Lepisosteus oculatus: one gene and its partners. The protein of the gene in region 1 purifies or fractionates together with the protein of each later gene. This does not show direct contact. Links are inferred from orthologs where the notes say so. Each region holds a gene or a part of one and is shown in the gene's direction. Other genes may lie near its edges. The genes, in order: rtn4a, atl3 and NADH-cytochrome b5 reductase 3-like.

Region 1 (7,622 bases):
AGCAAGAGGACCAGATGGATTTAGTCTTAGGCTCAACTTACCTGACAGACGCTCTCAGCACGCAGAGCAAAAGTTGCACCCGCTCTCACCCACTGAAATGCCCAACCAGGCGTCATCCACATGGCCGAGCAAGTTCCTAAGCTCTGGGCCTCGTTACGCGTCAAAACACAGCACAGTGACTCTAAGCACTGTAAACACTCTGGATAGGTTACGCCCAAAAACCAAGCCAAGCTGAACTGCCAATGTCCCTGAAGGGACTTTAACATAACAAAAAATAATTCCCAGCCTAGTCTCCCTGCGCTTGTGTAAAACGACATTGATAAGGGTGTGGAATAGACTCTAATATGAAAAAATGGACTGAGCCGGTAGAATAAGACAGCTTAGTTAAGAATGGAGAGTCGTCCTGGTGGGCGCTCAGTGGTGGATGAAGTGGGTGTGCTCTGATATGCAACGTGTATAAGGATCCTTGGAGATGAAAAGCGATTCATGAAATGCAATTAATGAAAGGGCTACGGTACATGGTGATTATTGACATGGGAGATGATCGATAGATGGATGACTGATAGATCTGGGTGAGGTGGTGGTGAGCCGCTCTTTGCTAGGTGCATCAGTACCATGAACTCCTGACCATAACACTCCCATTGCCTTTCAAGATATCTGCCATGTTATTGACTCTGATAACCAATGAAAAGCTGAAGCAGTTCAATTGTTCAGCCAAGGACCCCTGGAAGGATGAACCCCATTCCAGTCCTGGTCAGTATGGTTCAAAAATGTCTTATTTGTTTTCAGAGTTAAGGGATAGGATGGGCGTGTCTTTGAGCTTTAGCAAATAACTGTAGTAACATTTGGAATCATATACATGCAGAAATAAATATTATTAAAAGGACAAAACTGAAAAGAATCAGCTACATAAATGATCTTGTCCTCCACTCACTCCAGAAGTGTTTGATGTTGGAGTTGTCACGCCCTCTGTAGCCAGAGGGCGCTCCTTCTCTGTCCTGTCCCTAGTTTCTGGTCTGCTGTCCTTCCGGTCCCTCTCTTTCCCTTGGGCTATATTTTTCCGGGTCTTGCACTCTGCCGGGGCTCAGCATTGATGTTCGGATGTCCTGAGACCCGCCTAGCACCAGGTCGCCCCACGTCCGCTACCTGAGGGCATAGGTTTCTATACGGCATTCCTGAACTCTTTGCACTACGAGCACGGGCCTTTTTCCCGTCTCGCCGCTACGCAAATGGATCTTTTTCCGCTCTCCTGCTGCCCTCGGGTAGCCCCTTTGGACGTCCGTGACAGGAGTCCTGTGACTCAACACCACAACACCACAGATATCTACAGAGCTCTTAGCCTTTCATATCTGTGTTACGGGGCTGGAATGCTTCTGTGATTGGTTCACTGCTGCTTTTGGAAATAAAGGTGTCGGAGGGAGAGATTTTTGCACACGAGACATGTAAAACAAGACATTAAGAGTTAAGAGTTTTAATGCTGTAAATGCTGTAAGGTGAAGCTGGCATGAGCTTTGATGAGGCAGTATTGTAGTAAGTAGTTAAAACAACTCACACCTGAAGAAGGCTTCACATCCAAAACATTGTGTTTTTTTTCTTCTCTTTTCAGCAGGGAATAAACCTATTACTTGTTCCCTTGCAGCCTACGCATGCTGACGCAGCTCCCCACCTGAACTACTGTAAAAACAACGTACTTGTAAGCTTAAGCCTTATTGCCACATGTTGTTTTAAGACGTGTATGTCTCTCTAATTTATTTTTACTTCCACTGTATCTTTACTTGGAGATTTTGTTCTTCGGCCAAAGTCCTTCTTGGAAACTGGTTAGATCAGCAACTGGGCCCACTGCTCATATCCAGAACAAGCAAACTGGAACCCAGCGACAGTGGTCACTGTCTATTGTGGAAAGGCCATGGAGCTGTGTGTGGCACAGAGTAAGGAGATAAAAGGAATGATTAAACACAAACTGGGGCTGCTGGATAAAGGTGTTGATTGGTTTTAAACTGCTGGCAGAAAGCAATCAGTTTGAATTACTGGATTGGGGAACCGGATATCTGTTAAGCACATGTGCGGCAGAGATACACAGGACAGATGTGTGTGTAACTCAGCCAGCATGCACTGTATGTGGTGCAACAGTCTAGGGTGGGATAATGGGAAGTTGTGGTCATATGTACACAGATAGGGCAACTTTCACACTCTTCTGGGGAGAGACTGCAGAGGACGGAACAGAGAATCACGCAAAACAAAGCCCCCAAGATGGAGGGGTAGTTCAGTGCATCTCTCAACGTTGCAGTACGTACTGTCAGCAGGGGCTCTATCTCTTATAGAGTCGAAAGATCTGAGCCCTAAAAATAGCCCTGGTGCCTCAGTTTAGACCGCAGCTATTTCTGTTACAATACGAGAAACAGCCTGTTGCGGGGGAAAGGGACTTGGCTTTCGAAATGCCTCGTAGTCCCAGTATTGGACCAGCACAGAGGTGACAGAGGTAACCACAGGGCACGAGTCTTTGTATGTCACATTACGATAAACAATACAGTATATCTGCACAAACTGTAGAGGTGGATGTCTGCCCCGTGCATCATCAAAACATGGGAAGAGTTAATGTAATAATGTTAATGTTGCTTTATTAGCCCTATACAATTTCTTGCATTAGGAATTCGGCTTTTCACATACCCCAGCTTGCTCTCCATGAGACACAGACACATATACAGGGAGAGAAGCTTGGGATCAGAGCACAGGGTCTGCCATTGTACAGCGTCCCTGGAGCAGTTGGGGTTAAGGGCCTTGCTCAGGGGACAACAGAGTAGGATTCCTCTGCCGGCTGCAGGATTTGAACCGGCAACCTTCCAGTCACAGGCACAGATCCTTAGCCTTCGCTCCGCCCGTTACTTGTTACTAATGAGAGGAGGCCTTTCAGCCCATCTAGATTGTTTGTAATAATAAACTCCTTAAACTTATATAGCGCTTTTCTGGACTCTACACTCAAAGTGCTTTACAGGTAATGGGGATCCCCTCCACCACCACCAGTGTGCAGCCATAGTGCACCAGTACACTCCCCACACACCAGCTCTCAGTGGGGAGGAGAGCAGAGTGATGAAGCCAGTTCAGAGATGGGGGTTAGGAGATCATGACTGGTAAAGGTCAGGGGGAACTTTGGCCAGGACACTGGGGTAACACCCCTACTCTTTTCAAGAAACACCCTGGATCTCGTCCAGTTGTCTCTTTAAGACCTCTGGGGTATCAGCTTCAACAACAGGGCTGGCTAGCTTGTTCCGGGCTCCCACAACCCCATTGTGTCTGTTTGTGTTCAAGCTCAGGTGTTGGTGAGTTTCAGTGCTGGCGTCTTCCTATCCAAACAGCACAGACTCGCAGGGCCCATCGTACAGCAGAGAAAAGACTGGCCTCGAGCCACTTTACAAAGAGGAACGCGCACTGAAAGAGCACATGTCTGCAGGCACAGCAGAGAAAATGAATGGCTGAAAACAAAAAAAAGGGGGTTGTATCGGCAGCTGTCAGTAAAATTAACCCAAACGCAGAGAGGCAAAGAGAGATGAATTAAAAATGAAAGCTATTGTTAATGGCTCATTCATTTGCCAATGTGTCAGGCTTCACTGCTGCTGTTTACGTCTCAGTATAATGGAGACCCAGGCCAAGTTTGTATTGTAAATAGCTGAAGAGCAAGGCAGCTCTTACAACTGTAACTGCAGACATCTGCAGTGTGTCACAATCAGCGAGGACTCACGTGGATTCTTTCTCAGCTCTCCGAATTGAAAAACAGTGGGCATTGCCCACACCAAAAGGCCAGGAACTGACCCACAGGAACATACAGATTTTCTTAATCACCTAAATATTTAACGAGCTCCCTTTTGTAAACTTGAAGGGACACAGCTGTGTGTCAGCTCTCATAATTCTGGCTCTTTTTTTCGGAGTCATCCAGTAATTAGATGAGCTGATGTAACAGAGGGGAAGTCTATGAGGTCACCGAGTGCAGTCAAGGTGACCAATACTATACAGAAATACCTCTTTTGGGATGACGGTAAAAAAAAAGCTATAATACGTTATAGCTTGTTATAACGACTGGAATGTTATAATACGACTGGAATTCATTTATCTTCTCTTCCAAGGTTTGAATACGTCTTTACTACACGGTCTGTCTCTCACTGCTGCTTTATCAGCTACAATAACTGGAACATCTCCTTTTTATGGCGCACTGACAATATCGCCAGAGCCTTTATCGATCACAGCCTACACGCAGGACTGTATATCGTTAATTATTTACTTTAACAGCGAAGGTTAGGCCCGTGAAACCTGCCAGTGGTGGTACCGGCGTTTTATAACATCTTGGGGAAAAAAATGCACGCTTTTCGCTACAAGAAATGTTGCAGATAACTTTCGATCTGCTTTGTCACACTTTTCACGTATCCTCGTCTTCCGTGGTTACAGCCGCGTTACTAAGCAAAACTCCCAACGACACCGGAGATTGAAACCGCTGCAGATTGGTGGGAGCCGGGGGATGGGCGTGGTCCTTTGTTCGGCCCTCACCTTCGTGGCGGGGCGGTAGAAAAATAGTTGGGAGGGGGGAGGGAGGAAGAGCCGGGTTGGTCGGGGCGGACGTCAGTCAACCGAGATCGGCGCGCTGATTGGCCGAGGTCCGCTGAAGGGCTCCTCCGGGCACCGCAGTGTGGCGCGTTGCGCGTGCGAGAGGCTCCCTGTTCTGTCCTACGCTCTCGTGGCCGTGGCGCACTTGTTCAGTTCATCTCCGCCGGAAGGCAGCGACTAGCCAGCCCAGCGCAGCTACTCGGGGGGGGAGAGAGAGAGAGAGAAAAAAAAGGAGCACTTTCACTAGAAAGGTGTGTGTGTGGGGGGGAAAATCTTGGGTACACACCTTATAAAGAAGGGCTACACAGGGGGCGACTCCGGACACGAAAGAGGAAATGGAAGACGCGCAGCACATCTCGTCCACGACGCCCGGCGTCGATGAACTCCGCAAACTTCAGGGGGACCCCGACAAGATGGACGAGAGCAAGTTGTACGACGAAGCCGCCGGCTATCTGTTGCAGGAGAGCGGCGGCGGCTCGCCCAGGCCGCTGGCCGACGACGATATCCTCGACCTGGCCGGCGGCGCCCGGGATGCTCTCCTCCGGCACCGCTCCGCCACCCCGCCGGGGACCGGGGACCCGGACAGGGACCTCTACTCGGAGTTTGCCCCCGCGGCCGAGCCCGGCGATCTGCTGACGGGGATGGGCGGCTTCGGGGCGCCCTCGGTGAAGCAGGCGGCCGATAGCCCCCCGAAACCGGAGCCGCCCAGAGCCGCCCCGCGGAGCCCGGCCAGCGACCCCTCTCCCGCCTCCTCCTCCTCCTCCTCGGCGGCCTCCTCCCCAGGTGAGCACCGGTGCCCCTTTCGGAGGAAAAAGACAGTTTAATTTAGGCGTGTCTGAAGCGGGTGGGTACTTCACCCGGCCCACGGCCCCTGGGGGGGCCGCACTTCTGTCTCGCGGAAGTTGGGGCGCTAGACAATGGCCGTGGCTGCGCCCGAGGAGCCGGGAGCCTTTGTCGCGTGTGTGTTTGTGTTCCTGTATTATTGCACAAATAAAGCACAACTTCAATGCCGCGTTCCCGAGGCGGGGGGTGGCCCGGAGAAGCGCGGTCCGATGACTCTCACGCCGGTGCTGCCCACCTGTGTCGCCCCGGCGAGACGCGGGGGATCCGGGGGACCCGCAGCCGCTAACGGCTCCTTCTCAAACGGAAACGCAGTGCGCGGCTGAGAGAGATGAGATAGTTGTTTGCCCCTTTTGCACAGTATTTTAGGATCGCGTCCTGTGTGTGTCTGGGGGGGGTGGTAGTTCGTTTTGGGGTTGTTTTGGGGGGGTGAATTGTCCCTGAGTCAGCAGCCATTTTTCTCCAGCTCCTGGGTGGTCGAGATGTAATCAGGGGGTCGGGATAAGGACCTGTCTGTGTCTTGTCTGTGTGTGTTTTAGTTGCTATGGCGTAGTCCCATACCGGGGAGAGCTTGCACAGACCGTCGCGGCCGTCAAAAGATGTTTTTTTGTAATTCTTTTGCTGACGACGGGACTCCCCCTCCCTCCTGACTGATGCGCTATAATGCCGGCCAGGCTCTTGTCTCGGCGAGGCGGCTGGCTGGCTGCACTCGGACCCGACATCCCGATCCGGTTCGGGTCCGGTGTTCCGGGGTGGATCGACCGATGGGCGTGGGTCCGACAGGTGCTGGGAGTGAGATGGCCCGAGCAGACAGCCCCCCCGGGGGGGAGGGGGCGCAGATTTGGCCAGCTGTAGCCCTGGGGACGCTGTTTGGGACCCGACCCCCCCGCTGATCTGTGTGTGAAGTGATTAAGCTGCTGGCTTTTCTGGGGGGGGTGAGAGAGGTGTAGCGCAGTATCTGGGGGGGAGGCGACAGCAGGCGCACAGGTCAGGAGGCCCTGGTGGTGGGCCGGGCTGGGCTTGCTCCGACGCCGAGCAGACTGCAGCGCCAGTCTGCGCCCACGGCCTTGGAGAGGCGGGTGCGGTGTGTCTGCAACAAAATGATCTCCGACAGGAAAGTAGTCTCCATACGGAAACAGCGGACGAGCGGCCAGACAGAAATGAGAATCCCGCACATGTTCTTTAAGGGAAAGAAAGACCTCATCATATCATCCAGGCGAAACCTGTGGCTTCTTGATATCCGCGCTGTACCCCGCGCCGGGGAGGGGTACCTCCGGCGCCGGCTTTGTTTTAGTGGGTGATGTCATGCTCTGCGGCCGACAGGGGCCGTAATATACGATCCCACAGATAAGCACATGCTCGGCTACTCCTTATTTGTTTAATTATTTACAATAAAATACCTCTCGTTCTTTCAATTGACACACCGCCCTATGCGTCTAAACAATCGTATTAAAAAAAAAAGTGCAATCATAGGGATATGAATTAGACTTTCTCCAAGGCAGGCAGATAGCCACAGTATTCTGTCTCCAGTGCTTCTCAGGGTATTGTTTTAAAGCCCAGGGGATTTGGCCTTGATCTGTTTATCTTCCATAATCCCTTTGTACTGTAGCTGCTGATGCATATGTACCTACACCAGTTTCACATGCTGCACATGTTTTCTTCAGCTCCTTCCAATGTAGGACTTCTGTTCATGCAGGCTCGTTTACAAGGCATTCATGTAATATGTTCTGTAAGCATGTTACACGTTTTTTTTCCAATTAAACTGCTTCTCCTCCTCTACCCAAATTTCGGGTTTAGAAGAGAGACTTTGCTCTTATGTGCTTTTTTGGGCCAGATTTAGGAGCTTCATGAAAATGCCGTACCTAGCTCAACAGGACACAGAAAACCCATTTGGACAAATTCAGTTAAAAATGGCGTTTCATGTTTTATACTTTATATAATAATGTCGAGACGGTTGGTTCTGAAGGCCTGTGGGTGATGTTGCCTAGCCAGTTCAGGGAAAAGGGTTAATTCTCAATAACTTTGCCACCTTGATTGGCTTTTCAGAGGTCATGCCATTTAGCAGTTTGTTGTGTTTACTGGGTTTCTAAGGACCAAACTAATATAATCATCAGCTGCAGACCCTCAGATTATCTGAGTGCATGTAGCGTGACTGTGAGTCACTATTGCCACAGCAGCTGTGTAAAAGA
Region 2 (7,997 bases), on another chromosome or scaffold:
GTGACCGTAGCGTCCGTAGTGAGGGTCCCAGACTGGACTGTAGGGGTACAGTGTGACCCAGCCTGGACTGTAGGGGTACAGTGTGACCCAGACTGGACCGGCGATCTCTGGACTGGAGGGGTACAGTGTGACCCAGACTGGACTGTAGGGGTACAGTGTGACCCAGACTGGACAGTGATCTCTGGACTGGAGGGGTACAGGGTGACCCAGACTGGACTGTTGGGGTACAGTGTGACCCAGACTGGACAGTGATCTCTGGACTGTAGGGGTACAGTGTGATCCAGACTGGACCAGTGATCTCTGGACTGTAGGGGTACAGTGAGACCCAGACTGGACTGTAGGGGTACAGTGTGACCCAGACTGGACTGTAGGGGTACAGTGTGATCCAGACTGGACAGTGATCTCTGGACTGTAGGGGTACAGTGTGACCCAGACTGGACTGTAGGGGTACAGGGTGACCCAGACTGGACTGGAGGGGTACAGTGTGACCCAGACTGGACAGTGATCTCTGGACTGTTGGGGTACAGTGTGACCCAGACTGGACTGTAGGGGTACAGTGTGACCCAGACTGGACAGTGATCTCTGGACTGTAGGGGTACAGTGAGACCCAGACTGGACTGTAGGGGTACAGTGTGACCCAGACTGGACTGTAGGGGTACAGTGTGACCCAGACTGGACTGCTGGGGTACAGTGTGACCCAGACTGGACAGTGATCTCTGGACTGTAGGGGTACAGTGTGACCCAGACTGGACTGCTGGGGTACAGGGTGACCCTTCTGTCTTCGCTCTGTGTCCCCAGGGTTTGGAATGACCACCCCAGCGACTGTGACAGGCAAAGTCTTCCTCGTCTTCTACGGCCTGCTGGGCTGCGCGGGCACCCTCCTCTTCCTCAACCTGTTCCTGGAGCGCGCTGTCACGCTGCTGGCCGTCGTGCTGCAGGGGGTCCGCGGCGCGAGGCTGCGGCGACGCGGCGTGTACCCCGAGACGGGGGGCTCGCCGCCGGGGGGGTGGAAGCCCTCCGTCTACACGGTGATGGGCATCCTGGGGGCCGCGGCGGGGGCGGTGTCGCTGGGGGCCTCCTGCCTGTACAGCGCGGCCGAGGGCTGGAGCTACGGAGACGCCCTGTACTTCTGCTTCGTCGCCTTCAGCACCATCGGCTTCGGGGACCTGGTGAGCGGGCAGCGCGGGGCGCCCCTGGGGTCACAGCCGCCCCTGTACGGCCTGGGCAACTTCGCCTGCATCCTGCTGGGCGTGTGCTGCACCTACTCGCTCTTCAACGTCATCTCCATCCTCATCAAGGAGCTGCTCACCTGGCTGCTGGAGCGGGCCGGCTGCCCTGCCCGGCGCCGCCCCGCGCCCCCCCGCGCCCGCGCCCGCCGCCCCCCCGGCCTGCCCGCCGCCCCGGCCCCGCCCCCCGGCCGGCGTGCCCGCCCCCGCGCCCCGCCCCCGCCGGCCGCCAGCGAGGTCTCCATGGACACGGAGGCGGTGTTCGACAGCGAGACGGACGCCCGCCGCGTCTCCCTGGAGACGAGCGCCATCCGCGACTTCCTGGCCGCCCCCCCCTCCCCCACGCTGGGGGGCAGGCGCCGCCGGCTGGCCTGGGGGGGCGCCGAGGCGGGTGAGGGCGTGCCTAGAGCGGGGGAGCAGGAGGAGGGCGGGGGGGACCGGGAGCGAGCAGAGACGGACGCTGGCAGCGCCCCCCAGGGGGCAGCGGCGCAGAGAGGGCACAGCCCCAGCAGGGGGGCGTCCTGCTCTCCGCAGGGGGAGCGAGTGGGCAGCCTGCTGGACAGCCTGGGGTCCCTGGCCGTCATGCACAGCAAACTGGCCGAGACCTGCCGGGGCTACGGGCAGGGGAGACCCCACAGCGCCCGGCGGGACTGTCTCCACGGCGACAGCTACTGTGGTCAAGGTCGGCATGGAAACCACTTTCACTCTCACACCAGAGCTCCCAGCCCCAGTCACTCCCATCGTCTCACTCCCTCTCACTCTCCCTCTCACACCAGAGCTCCCAGCCCCAGTCACTCCCATCGTCTCACTCCCTCTCACTCTCCCTCTCACACCAGAGCTCCCAGCCCCAGTCACTCCCATCGTCTCACTCCCTCTCACTCTCCCTCTCACACCAGAGCTCCCAGCCCCAGTCACTCCCATCGTCTCACTCCCTCTCACTCTCCCTCTCACACCAGAGCTCCCAGCCCCAGTCACTCCCATCGTCTCACTCCCTCTCACTCTCCCTCTCACACCAGAGCTCCCAGCCCCAGTCACTCCCATCGTCTCACTCCCTCTCACTCTCCCTCTCACACCAGAGCTCCCAGCCCCAGTCACTCCCATCGTCTCACTCCCTCTCACTCTCCGTCTCACACCAGAGCTCCCAGCCCCAGTCACACCCATCGTCTCACTCCCTCTCACTCTCCCTCTCACACCAGAGCTCCCAGCCCCAGTCACTCCCATCGTCTCACTCCCTCTCACTCTCCCTCTCACACCAGAGCTCCCAGCCCCAGTCACACCCACTGTCTCACTCCCTCTCACTCTCCCTCTCACACCAGAGCTCCCAGCCCCAGTCACTCCCACTGTCTCACTCCCTCTCACTCTCGGGACAGGGGGGTGCAGGCGGGGGCAGGGGGGCCGGTGCAGGGGTCCGGCAGTGACCCCGCCGTTGGCTCCAGTGGGCTGGGGTCGCTGGGGAACCTGGGCAGCCCCCCGCGGACCGGCGCGGCCAGCGCGGCCAGCGGCTCCCAGACGGGGCTGTCCTCCAGCGGGCGGGGGTCCCTGGAGTGTGGGGGCGCCCCACTCGGAGACCCCTGCTCGCCCACCCCCCCTCCGGAGCGCGGGCGGGGCTCCCAGCGCAGCTCTGGCGCGGGACTGGCTGGGGTGCGGAAGGGGGACAGGCCCAGAGAGGAGCCCCTGGGGGCTGTGGGGTCCCTGGCCGTCCTCAAAGACTTTTTCCGCTGAGACCGGCAGGACGATGGACCCCCAGTCCGGACCCGAGAGACCTCAGCTCTCCAGCCTTTCCTGGACTCCAGACATGGGCTTGGTGTGTCGTACCCATGCCTTCGTGCTTCGTGTGATCTCTGTCCCCCCTCCTGCTTTCTCCTGCTTCCTCCTGCTCCTCTCCTGCTCCTCTCCTGCTTCCTTCTGCTCCTTTCCTGCTCCTCTCCTGCTCCTCTCCTGCTCCTCTCCTGCTCCTCTCCTGCTTCCTCCTGCTTCTCTCCTGCTCCTCTCCTGCTCCTCTCCTGCTTCCTCCTGCTTCCTCCTGCTCCTCTCCTGCTCCTCTCCTGCTCCTCTCCTGCTTCCTCCTGCTTCCTCCTGCTCCTCTCCTGCTTCTCTCCTGCTCCTCTCCTGCTCCTCTCCTGCTTCCTCCTGCTTCCTCCTGCTCCTCTCCTGCTTCTCTCCTGCTCCTCTCCTGCTCCTCTCCTGCTCCTCTCCTGCTTCCTTCTGCTCCTCTCCTGCTTCCTCCTGCTCCTCTCCTGCTTCCTCCTGCTTCCTCCTGCTCCTCTCCTGCTTCCTCCTGCTCCTTTCCTGCTCCTCTCCTGCTCCTCTCCTGCTCCTCTCCTGCTTCCTCCTGCTCCTCTCCTGCTTCTCTCCTGCTCCTCTCCTGCTCCTCTCCTGCTTCCTCCCGCTTCCTCCTGCTCCTCTCCTGCTCCTGTCACTAGACAGACCTTGGGGACTGGAAACCTTCTGGGAGCCAGTGCAGGGAATCGAGGACAGGAGTGATGCGACTCTGAGCCCCAGCTCTGCAGGACCTGATGCCCTTGTGTGGAGTGGGGGGTGCTGTGCACCCCATTGATGGACAGCGGAGTGCGCTGTGTGCTTCTTGGGTGCTCCTGCTGGCGTTTCGGGGCTCTGTGTGCCTATGGTCAGTCTCCAGCTCGAAGTCCAGTTTCGGGGCTCTGTGTGCCTTTGATCAGTGTCCAGCTCGAAGTCCAGTTTCGGGGCTCTGCATGCCTGCGATCAGTGTCCAGCTCGAAGTCCAGTTTCGGGGCTCTGCGTGCCTGCGGTCAGTGTCCAGCTCCGAGTGCAGTTTCGGGGCTCTGAGTGCCTGCGGTCAGTCTCCAGCTCCGAGTGCAGTTTCGGGGCTCTGAGTGCCTGCGGTCAGTCTCCAGCTCCGAGTGCAGTTTCGGGGCTCTGAGTGCCTGCGGTCAGTGTCCAGCTCGAAGTCCAGTTTCGGGGCTCTGTGTGCTGCTGTCTGTTGATGCTGATTAAAGTGTGATGAGTCTGATCTAGACAGGCTGAGTGCTGTGTGTTTTTCTTTCTTTCTCCTGCATCACTGATCCCACTTCAATCCCTCTACCCCAGGACTCACAGCCCCAAATACCTGCACCCCATCTGTGACCCCTCTACCCCAGGACTCACAGCCCCAAATACCTGCACCCCATCTGTGACCCCTCTACCCCAGGACTCACAGCCCCAAATACCTGCACCCCATCTGTGACCCCTCTACCCCAGGACTCACAGCCCCAAATACCTGCACCCCATCTGTGACCCCTCTACCCCGGAGGTGACAGCCCCAAATACCTGCATCCCATCTGTGACCCCTCTACCCCGGAGGTGACAGCCCCAAAAACCTGCACCCCATCTGTGACCCCTGTACCTGCACGCTCTGCGACACCCTTCATCATTATTACTGTTACCACTGCAGTCAAAACGCCACATCGGTTCTCAGGAAGATGCGGCTGTTTCTTCTCTTAACGCTCGGGGTGTCTGCAGGGGAAACCACAGTTTTGTTTTTTAACTACACTGGCGTGAAATGGCTACTTTCTGAGTCATCGCTCCTCCGCCCTGAGATGCCTGCTCGTCTGCCAGGCTGGCCTCGCCCTCCCCTCCACGGTCTGCAGCGATTCACTACAACTACCATGATGCCCCTGGCTTCCGGTGCCTCCTGGGAGATGTAGTCTTCTGCAAAAAAGATGTAAGCTAAACCGCACGGGCGTCGCCCTTGTCAGGAAATACGATTCCCAGACGCCCTTGCCCCTCAATCCTGGTTGGTTAGAGCGTTTTTTTCCAGATAACGACGAGAAAAAAAACAGAAAAGTTTTGGCATCGCGTTACAGGCTCGTTGTTCAGGTAAAGAAAAGCGTTGACCACACTTTGAAGTTCCTTTCTCTTGCTTGGTGCTCTCTGCGGGTCCGACTGGCCCCTAAGGCTAAGGCTGCTCTGCTCCGGTCCTGCTGCGTGTGCAAACCGGAGTCCGTCCGCGTCTGCGAGGCGTCTGGCTCGGCTCTCGAGGGGGAGGGAAGGAGCGCTTTCTCCTTTGAAAAGTATGTATTTCTGGACGTGCCTACCTGTGCGTTTTAACTTCCTGCTCTCCGCGGCCGCTGACAGCGTTTCTGCGCGTCCCGGGAAGATGAAAACGCAGGCTTTGGGGTTGCGTGTGCGAGTGCGTGTCTTGGACCGTTTCTTCACTCAGCCGGACCGAGCGCGGTTCGCCGAGTGGGTCTGTGCTGGCGAGAGATTCACCGGAGGGACCCGGATCCTCTGGGGACACGTGGATCGGACACTGGGAGCGGGGGGCTTGTTGGGCCGTGGGAGCCCGGGTCTGGGCTGGGCAGGGCAGGGCAGGGCAGGGCAGCACAGCACACCGGCACGCGTGGGGGTGGGGGTGTCGAGCGCTGTGGAGGCGATCGTCAGATCTCCAGATCTTCAGCTCCCCACAGATCTGGTGTGTGTTCACACTGTGTGACAGATGTGTTGTTCTGCTGTCTGTGGAGAGCGCCTGACTGCCTCTGCTCAAAGAGCTCCTTCATGAAGACCAGGCGCTGGTCTGGCCGCAGAAAATGGATTCTGCACCCCAGTCCAGCGCCTTCAACTCCCATCGGAGTGATCGGACTTTCTTGAAGGGCTTCAGTCTGATCCGCTCCAGGTGTGACAGTGCTGTCAGACTCCCAGTGCGCAGCAGTCTGATCCGCTCCAGGTGTGACAGTGCTGTCAGACTCCCAGTGCGCAGCAGTCTGATCCGCTCCAGGTGTGACAGTGCTGTCAGTCAGACTCCCAGTGTGCAGCAGTCTGATCCGCTCCAGGTGTGACAGTGCTGTCAGACTCCCAGTGCGCAGCAGTCTGATCCGCTCCAGGTGTGACAGTGCTGTCAGTCAGACTCCCAGTGCGCAGCAGTCTGATCCGCTCCAGGTGTGACAGTGCTGTCAGACTCCCAGTGCGCAGCAGTCTGATCCGCTCCAGGTGTGACAGTGCTGTCAGTCAGACTCCCAGTGCGCAGCAGTCTGATCCGCTCCAGGTGTGACAGTGCTGTCAGTCAGACTCCCAGTGTGCAGCAGTCTGATCCGCTCCAGGTGTGACAGTGCTGTCAGTCAGACTCCCAGTGCGCAGCAGTCTGATCCGCTCCAGGTGTGACAGTGCTGTCAGTCAGACTCCCAGTGCGCAGCAGTCTGATCCGCTCCAGGTGTGACAGTGCTGTCAGTCAGACTCCCAGTGCGCAGCAGTCTGATCCGCTCCAGGTGTGACAGTGCTGTCAGACTCCCAGTGCGCAGCAGTATGATCCGCTCCAGGTGTGACAGTGCTGTCAGTCAGACTCCCAGTGCGCAGCAGTCTGATCCGCTCCAGGTGTGACAGTGCTGTCAGTCAGACTCCCAGTGCGCAGCAGTCTGATCCGCTCCAGGTGTGACAGTGCTGTCAGACTCCCAGTGTGCAGCAGTCTGATCCGCTCCAGGTGTGACAGTGCCGTCAGTGCGAATGTGTGAGTGAGTGAGAGAGCTGCGCTGACCCGCTGCCCTCAATCCCCAGGCGCAGTGACACACAGTGAGAAATGGGGGGCGCTAGTGAGCCGCGGCCGGTGCAGATCGTCAGTGTGCACAAGGAGGACCACTCCTTCTCCCTGGACGCCAAGGCCCTGGAGGCGGTGCTGCTGCGGCCGGAGGTCCGGGACCTGGACGTTGCCGTGGTGTCGGTCGCCGGGGCGTTCCGCAAGGGCAAGTCCTTCCTCCTGGACTTCATGCTGCGCTACATGAAGAGGAAGGTGAGGAGCGCAGAGCACACAAGATACACACTGATACACACACACTGACAGTGACACACGCACACTGACAATGACACACTCACACACTCTTACACACTGACACACACACACTGACAATGACACACTCACACACTCTTACACACCGACACACACCGATGCACACGCACTGACACACAGACTAAGACACACACACTGACAGTGACACACTCACACACACCGACTCACGCACACTGACAATGACACACACACTCTTACACACCGACACACACACACTGACAATGACACACTCACACACTCTTACACACCGACACACGCACACTGACACACACTGACACACAGACTAAGACACACACACTGACAATGACACACACACTGATGCACACTCACACACTCTTACACACACACACTAAGACACACAGTGACGCACACTCTTACACACCGACACACACACACTGACACACACCGATGCACACGCACTGACAATGACACACACACTGATGCACACTCTTGCACACACTGATGCACACACAATAATACACACACTCTTACACACACTCTCATGCCCTCAGGGCTGAACCTCTCTCCTGTCCTGCAGGATGAAGCTGGAGACTGGCTGGGCTCCGACACCGAGCCCCTGACCGGGTTCTCCTGGCGGGGCGGCTCTGACCCAGAGACCACGGGGATCCAGATCTGGAGCGAGGTGTTCGTGGTGGAGAAGCCCAACGGCAAGGAGGTGCTGAGCCGTCCAGTCCCGTGTGAACGGGCTGAGGAGGTGCTGGTGGCCAGCAGGAGGCGCAGTGCCTCAGCCGCGCTGTAGGGGGCGCCGGTCTCTCTGTAGCGCAGTGCCTCAGCCGCGCTGTAGGGGGCGCCGGTCTCTCTGTAGCGCAGTGCCTCAGCCGCGCTGTAGGGGGCGCCGGTCTCTCTGTAGCGCAGTGCCTCAGCCGCGCTGTAGGGGGCGCCGGTCTCTCTGTAGCGCAGTGCCTCAGCCGCGCTGTGGGGGCGCCGGTCTCTCTGTAGCGCAGTGCCTCAGCTGT
Region 3 (6,972 bases), on another chromosome or scaffold:
AATCTAGAGTCAGAACCAATAATGAGGTGGAGACATGTACCCAGTCCTTAACCTCTCATCCTCCTTCTACACCAGAGGAGTGTTACGATTGATGTCCCAGACCTCCAGAAGCCTGAATTGTCCAGTAACAAAGTATGATTCAGTGGCAACTTGTGAGGAGAGGCTGAAGCAATTTTAAAGGTGTTTCTACCATTCTCCCCTTTAAATATAAATCTGATCTGTAGCTGCATTGTTGACTCACGTATTTCACTTGGATTGTTCCAGTAAAAAATACTCTGCTATGTAAAGGGGTCCAAATGTAAATCACTTTAGATAAAAACTATTGGCTAATTAGCATAATTAATTAATTGACTCCGCTGTAGCACACTGAATAAAATACTACAGATCAACAGTGAACACAGACATTAACCTGTGAAATTATGAGACAGTTCACTTTCACAGGTTAATGTCTTTGCTCACTGTTTAATTGTGCAGCTAAATGCAAGGTTACATTCCCAGATTGCTATCGGGGTGTGAGATTCAGGGCTGTCTCAGATAACACTGGTGCTGAAACACGGGGATTCACAGCCAAGGAAACAGACAAAGGATGTAACCTTTCAATTAACACGATTTAACACTTCCTGCACTGTTTCAATCTGTACAGTTGGAGGTACTTTGAAGGGGAGAAGGAACAGAAATCCCCCTTAATGAGTTTCAGCCATTCTCACAAGCCCCTGCTGCTCAATGTCCACATTAATTGCCAGAGTTACAATCCTGCACCAGCCTGACCTGTCAACAGCAGAATATCACAGGGTAAGACAACAATTGCTTCAAAATGCTTATCAACAGATGCATTTCAATACAAGTAAAAATGAAAATGAAGGCTACAGTTAGTGGTTGTTATGCAACAAAGATTAGCATGCCAAACAATGGCTATGAGACACATGCTCATTAGGAATCCCTCCAACCATAAAAATATTTTAACTTTGAGAAAAGAGGGAGTTTTTATTTTCCAAAACGTCAGTGAAAAATCTCCCCCCCCCCCCAACCACCTAAAAAATTGCATTTTCTTTCAAACTCATTGGAGAAATAATCATCAGTTAATCAGGTGAACTAAACAAACATTTCAGAACAGTGTTAGATACATTATTTTAAATATGAAAATCACTTTCCTAAAAAAAAACCCAATGTGATACATGTCAGATACAAATCCTAAAGCAACAATAATGAATCTGAGAGTTTACTATCCCAATGTACACAGCAGACATGCACAGCTACAGTCTATAGACACAAAGACATTAAAACATTTGAACAATTGAAAGTAATACCATGTTTTACACCGTCAATATCTCGGTTTTGTAAACAGGATGCCCAGTCTTTTTCTCATAGCAAACAAGATGTATCTTTCCCAGAACGGTGCAACACGATGAACTTTCCAGCGTAGAGGAAACTGTAGTATACCACTGTTGTTTTTACTTTTCTCAGGTTTAAACACACGCCAAACACGGGTTTAAACACAGGAGCACAAATATGACTCACACGCGTACGTCTTGATGGTCCTCAGCCGCTCCTCGTTCACGTGAGAGAAGAGTGGCGCACTGGCCCTGTCTCTGGCGGAGTTACTGCCTGGAGCAACATAGCCTGCCTTCCCCTGAAAGACACACAGAAGGGATCTCAAGTGACAAGAAACAGTCAGCCCACTGCCTGCCACGACTCCCACCCCCATCCACCAAGTTTTACACAAAGCTTGCGTAAAGAGACGCTACACTTTTCCTACTGTCCAGTGCCAAACAAACACGAGTAGAAAGCTCAGCCACTAAGACATCTACAGCACCATATGCACACACTACTGAAACAAGCAAGTACTGTATGAACACTTTCAAAAGAGTGGTACAGTAGATATCCCTGCAAAACAACTCTGCAGCATTTCACTGGGGTAAATTATAATTTGTTTAGGAGGTAGTCACTGGATTTTTATCCATCGCCTGCTCCTTGGAATTGTCAACAACGAATTCCAACTTTACTCGTCCCTCAATATCGCTGTAAGTGCTCCACTAACTCCAAGTGTTATGACGCTGGCTCCGCAACCACAGGGGATAAGGACTGCACATCGGCCTGACCAACTAAACCAGTTCTCGTATTTTGGTATTTAAATCAAGATTAGTCATGGATTATTCTAGGCAAGCGCAAAGCGGCTCAGTCCGCCGTCTGCCGGACAGGAAAGGTTTCGGGCAGTGAGCCACACCTGCAGGGAGATGGTGTAGTCTTTCCCGGGCTTCAGGCGGTTCTCATCCAAAGCCCACAGCTCGTTCAGGAGGCTGGACAGTTCTTGGTTGATCCCTTGCCTGGGGGAATGAGAGGAGCACAGTACAATGCTTTTGCTGATTATCTTAAAATAAAGATAATGGTCAAATTTACTAGGACACAGTCACATAGCTTAAGAGAGCAGTTTGTTTTTCCATTTCAGTGGGAGGCTGTCCAACAGAAAGCACAAAAACTGGGGAATTGGTTTCATTTCTTAAAACTTTCATATTCAAAGCAAATCGACTATAAATATAGGAAGTGAAATTAGAACATTAAGATTTCAAGGAAGCTGAGGACGTTAACAGTTCGGGCGTTGGCTGATAGTGGGACCCAGGTGATGAAACCATTTTACCAAAAACGAAACTTTAAACATCTAGAGAGCCGCCCACAGGCTTTCAATAATTAATTGCCTGATACAGAGGTTTTAGTACTTAGCACAGTTCATTTGTTAATTTTAAGGTTTTTTTAAATGTAAAAAGCCATTAATTAATTGTTTAAATGCTCGGCAAAAGACAAACCAAAGAGATCTCCCATTTCTAAAGTCGCGACAAAATTAGTTCAGGAAAAAGAAGTGCATTACATAATTGGTGGTTTTGAACAGAAGCAAAGTAACTCGGGGCCAGAGAGGGTGGGTCACTCGTTTACTTTCGAGCGAGATCACTTGACAGTGAGATTTGAATAGCGTTAAATTACGCTATAAATTTCATCTCGCTACACCTACTTGCTTTTCAACCTTTAAGGGAAATTTGAATGCGTCTTCCTTTGCTCCACAGGGGAAAAAAAAAGTTACACTTGCCGTTCATAGGAGTTGTAATTGTTTAAAGCAGAAAACAGTTTCACGTAACTGAAGACACTAGTGAACAATACGGTGTGTAATGCAATAGTGTTGGCATATCTAAGCATAACTTAAACACTGCCTTTTGTGGATACCTGCTACAAAGTACTACTTGTAACCATTATAATAACCCAAATGCGCTTGTTCTTCCTCTTCGCTTCACCAGGTCGGCTTTATTCGTGGAGGTCGAGGAAAATTAAAATGAGCACTACGTATAATCACACAGACGAGCACCTTTTGATGTATTTTGGTTGCAGTCCTTTATTCCTCGAAGGTACCCCAAAAACGCCCTCAGGTGAAGGCACCGGGTGCCCGCTAGCTAGCCGAGTTGCGTCACCGCGACACCTTTCTACAGTAATACAGTAATACAGTAATCTGTGCAGCAACTTCAGGATACTGACACGCAGCCGCTTTGCCAACTTCAAAGCGATCTGGGAGAACAATAATAACAACACAAGAAAAGAAAAATCCAACCATCTTATCGGCGCAGATAAGGTGCCTGTTGTGTGTTCTTACCCTTTGGCCATTGCGCCGCTGTCAGACTGCCTCAATTAAAGATGACAGATGTAAACCTTATTGCTCCTAGCCGTGACTCAGAGCGAAGGCAGTTTTAATGGCAGCTCAATGAAGGCTCCTTGGCATACATGCATGGTCCAATAGCGAGAGCGTCCCTCCTACCGTGCCTCCGCGATCGTCTTGGTCCGGAGCGATTGGCTCTCTGGGCCCGGAGGGTTTGGCAGCAGCTCATGGTGACGTTGATATTTTCTCTGTTGTGGACGCCTGGGAGGAGCAGGCAAATGAAAAAAGAATCGTGAGCTGGGGTGGGGCTTGTCTGCAGAAGTTGCAAAGAGTATTTTGCTATAAGTCCAGGATCTGCGTACCTGTGGCATCTGGAGGAAGCCGAGATGTCTTTTATTCTGCGAGTGAGTGTTGGCACTTGTTGACTTTTTCGTCAAATCACCTGCTTTGAGAAATATTGTAGATATGGTGTTACCGAGGAGCTGGCTGACTCATTGCACTGGTGTTGGCACGACGTATGCTCGGAGTTATAGTGTTGTTAGCGCAGCACTAATGGGAAGAAAAAAATAAAGAAGAGCTTTTTAGTTATTTTATTAATTTATAAGGGAATCAGTGACGTCTTGTTATGTTGTTAAACGTTTAAGTCCTGCACTTGTAATGAAGGGACGGTCGCGGTAGATTTGTCCAGGTAAGGTCTCGCTTTGCGCTTGCATTGGTCAACATCTACTGTAATTAGGGTCATATGTCTGTAAAACACATTTCTTGTAGACTATATTATACACCATTATAATGCAAATACTAATTGCTAATGCAATTAAGCAAAGGCGCCCGTGTTTTCCTGCTAGAAGGTTATCGCTGGTAATATGGCCTCACTGAATGTGCAGGAGCTGTTATAGTTTTTGTATGCGTGGTCCGTCATTTTTCGAAGTAGTGTTGTATTCGTTCTGCAGAATTAATTTCATTATAATAGTATGAAGTTTTATACAATGTAGAGCAGATACTAACGTCAGCGCGGATGGTATCTTTTTGCTTTTGTTTCACTTTACATTTTATGACGTGGTACGAGAGGGCACCTTTGTGTGTGTGTGTGTTTTTCCTGTTTGAATTTTGGTGTTATAAGCATTAAAGGCTAGACACTAATTTATAAAGCAAAAACGTCAACCTTCTCGATAATAGGAAGTGATGTGGGGAATGAAATCGACGTTGCACCTGATTTTTTTAAGTGGGTGGAGGCGTGAAACAGTAACTGAGCGAACTTTTAGGAGAATGTTTCTCCAAGAATAGCTACCATTGGGAACAAACACTTGTAACTTTTTTCGCTGTTGTTTTTTTTTTCTTTCAAGGACCTCTGCCCAAGCTGATGAACTTCCTGTGCTGATAGCCTTTCAGGCATGAAATGTTAACTCTTTATATACCAAGATGACGGGGAAATATTCTGCTCCCCATGACAAAGCCCTTCTAAAGTTGTCACTGAGGTTTTTAAACTACAGTATGGATATTTTACAGGCAGGGTTAAACGTTAAGCATTGACAACTACATGTGGATAGATGTCTTTTTTCATGAAAAAAGACAAGCTCTTAACTTTGTTGTAAAATGGTAAAATGTTATCTTGTACTTCTACCGCAGGTACATTTTATTTTGGATTTCCAGAATAGTAGGAGTCTAACTTATGACAGTGTAACTCAGAATCCAAATGTGCATTATGTTTTTTTTTTCACTTGTCTTTTTCAGATCATCCGAGACAGTTATAATTACATTCGCAATCTCATCTGCCACCTTCTCTTCGGAAAGAAAAAAGCTGCGATAACTCTTGAGGATCCCAATATCAAGTACCCTCTAAGACTCATAGACAAAGAGGTGAGATAACATTCATTTATTGCTTTTAATCTCCGTCTCAGTCAGTAACAGGTGTTCATCTAGCAGTTCAGTGCTTTCCTAACTACCCTGTGGACACATTTCCAGGAAAACAACTTAACTTTTCTTTTCTCTCAAGTGTCTAGGTGAGTGAAATTGATAACAGCCTGAGAATCTGAGAAGTTAAGAAATATGAATTGACTGCAGCATATACATTGCTCATAAGAGCATGCATTACGTGATGCTTTTTAACAAGAGGTGTTGCGTTATACCCCTTTTAAGTTAGTCAATACATTTTCTAAAGTATGTAGTTTTTGATGCATAAGACAAACTCTGAAGTTTTTCATATACAGTATGTTTTACCACAAAAAAACACAGCTTTGCTGAATACAATAAATGATCCTGTGACATGCAGCATAGCTTTTGCAATTGCAATTACTTGATTAAGAATATGTATTGTACTACTACTACTAATTTCTAACACCAACGGTATATAGCACTTTTCTGGACACTCCACTCAAAGCGCTTTACAGGTCATGGGGATCCCCTCCACCACCACCAGTGTGCAGCCCCACCTGGATGATGTGACAGCAGCCATAGTGCACCAGTACACTCCCCACACACCAGCTCTCAGTGGGGAGGAGAGCAGAGTGATGAAGCCAGTTCAGAGATGGGGATTATTAGGAGGCCATGACTGGTGGAGGCCAGGAGGGAATTTGGTCAGGACACTGGGGTAACACCCCTAGTCCTAGATTTTTAATGACCACAGAGAGTCAGGTCCTCAGCCAGGACATCTATTCTTTTTCAGAAACATTGAATTCAGATATGTCACGCTTCTGTGCGGTGTAAAGTCATGAATGCGTGGAGCTGTCTCTGTCCACCACATATCCCAGAAGTAAGGAGATATGCTTTTATGTTGTCCTTTGTTAAAGGACTGCTGGGTATTCACATGTTAGGCGTTCTGCAGGCCATTGTAGCTGATTTATCGTCAGACACAGCAAGGGCCTTCAAACTGGCTAGCGTTTCCCCAGCCATGCTCGTTTATTCTGGGGGGTCACTATCTCCACACCTGGAGGGCCACTTTTTTTCTGGTTTTCATTCCATCTTAGACTTTTGGAACTAAGTGGAGAGGAAGTCGAACTGCCCGTTTTCTTTGTGTCTTAATCAAGTGGTACTGCAGTGTTGCCTCTGAAACCTGCACACGAGGGCTGGAGCCTGCTGCCCCAACTTTATTCCCTGGAAATGTGTCGGGTTGTTGTTGTCGGAACGGGGAAGGGTAGTACAAGCAGAGCTGCTCAACATCTGTCAATTGCTTCTGCAGAACTAAAACTCCACCGGTTTAGCCACTCAGGGTGTGAAAAATGAGATAGAAAAGTCTCTCTAATTTAGTAATTGTTCAGTAAAAAGCCACACCCCCCCCCCCCCCATTGTCAGGAGGCCCCATGTGTCACGGTTCTTGGCACTCACACTGTTTGTTTCCT

What was found.
Region 2: the proteins of rtn4a (region 1) and atl3 purify together in Homo sapiens (affinity purification with mass spectrometry; 4 studies listed by BioGRID and IntAct, counting the BioPlex papers as one, with this or other methods). This does not show direct contact. The link is inferred for Lepisosteus oculatus from reciprocal best matches to the Homo sapiens genes RTN4 and ATL3.
Region 3: the proteins of rtn4a (region 1) and NADH-cytochrome b5 reductase 3-like purify together in Homo sapiens (affinity purification with mass spectrometry; 3 studies listed by BioGRID and IntAct, counting the BioPlex papers as one, with this or other methods). This does not show direct contact. The link is inferred for Lepisosteus oculatus from reciprocal best matches to the Homo sapiens genes RTN4 and CYB5R3.

Annotation. Positions count from the first base shown.
Region 1 is NC_090712.1:3,327,093-3,334,714, reverse strand, and holds the start of rtn4a (reticulon-4a), read left to right. Parts: upstream 1-4,575; 5' UTR 4,576-4,928; coding exon 4,929-5,376; intron 5,377-7,622. UniProt on the Homo sapiens protein: Required to induce the formation and stabilization of endoplasmic reticulum (ER) tubules. They regulate membrane morphogenesis in the ER by promoting tubular ER production.
Region 2 is NC_090713.1:23,341,444-23,349,440, forward strand, and holds the start of atl3 (atlastin-3), read left to right. Parts: upstream 1-4,958; 5' UTR 4,959-5,060; exon of another isoform or gene 5,061-5,254; intron 5,255-6,731; 5' UTR 6,732-6,753; coding exon 6,754-6,963; intron 6,964-7,558; coding exon 7,559-7,696; intron 7,697-7,997. Other genes in the region: serine/arginine repetitive matrix protein 1-like, read left to right, coding at 799-2,948; octapeptide-repeat protein T2-like, read right to left, coding at 2,991-3,674, 4,752-4,763. UniProt on the Homo sapiens protein: Atlastin-3 (ATL3) is a membrane-anchored GTPase that mediates the GTP-dependent fusion of endoplasmic reticulum (ER) membranes, maintaining the continuous ER network. It facilitates the formation of three-way junctions where ER tubules intersect.
Region 3 is NC_090702.1:53,637,344-53,644,315, forward strand, and holds the start of NADH-cytochrome b5 reductase 3-like, read left to right. Parts: upstream 1-3,875; 5' UTR 3,876-4,023; coding exon 4,024-4,041; intron 4,042-5,368; coding exon 5,369-5,494; intron 5,495-6,972. Other genes in the region: endouc (uridylate-specific endoribonuclease C), read right to left, coding at 1-3, 1,519-1,630, 2,225-2,324, 3,635-3,645. UniProt on the Homo sapiens protein: Catalyzes the reduction of two molecules of cytochrome b5 using NADH as the electron donor.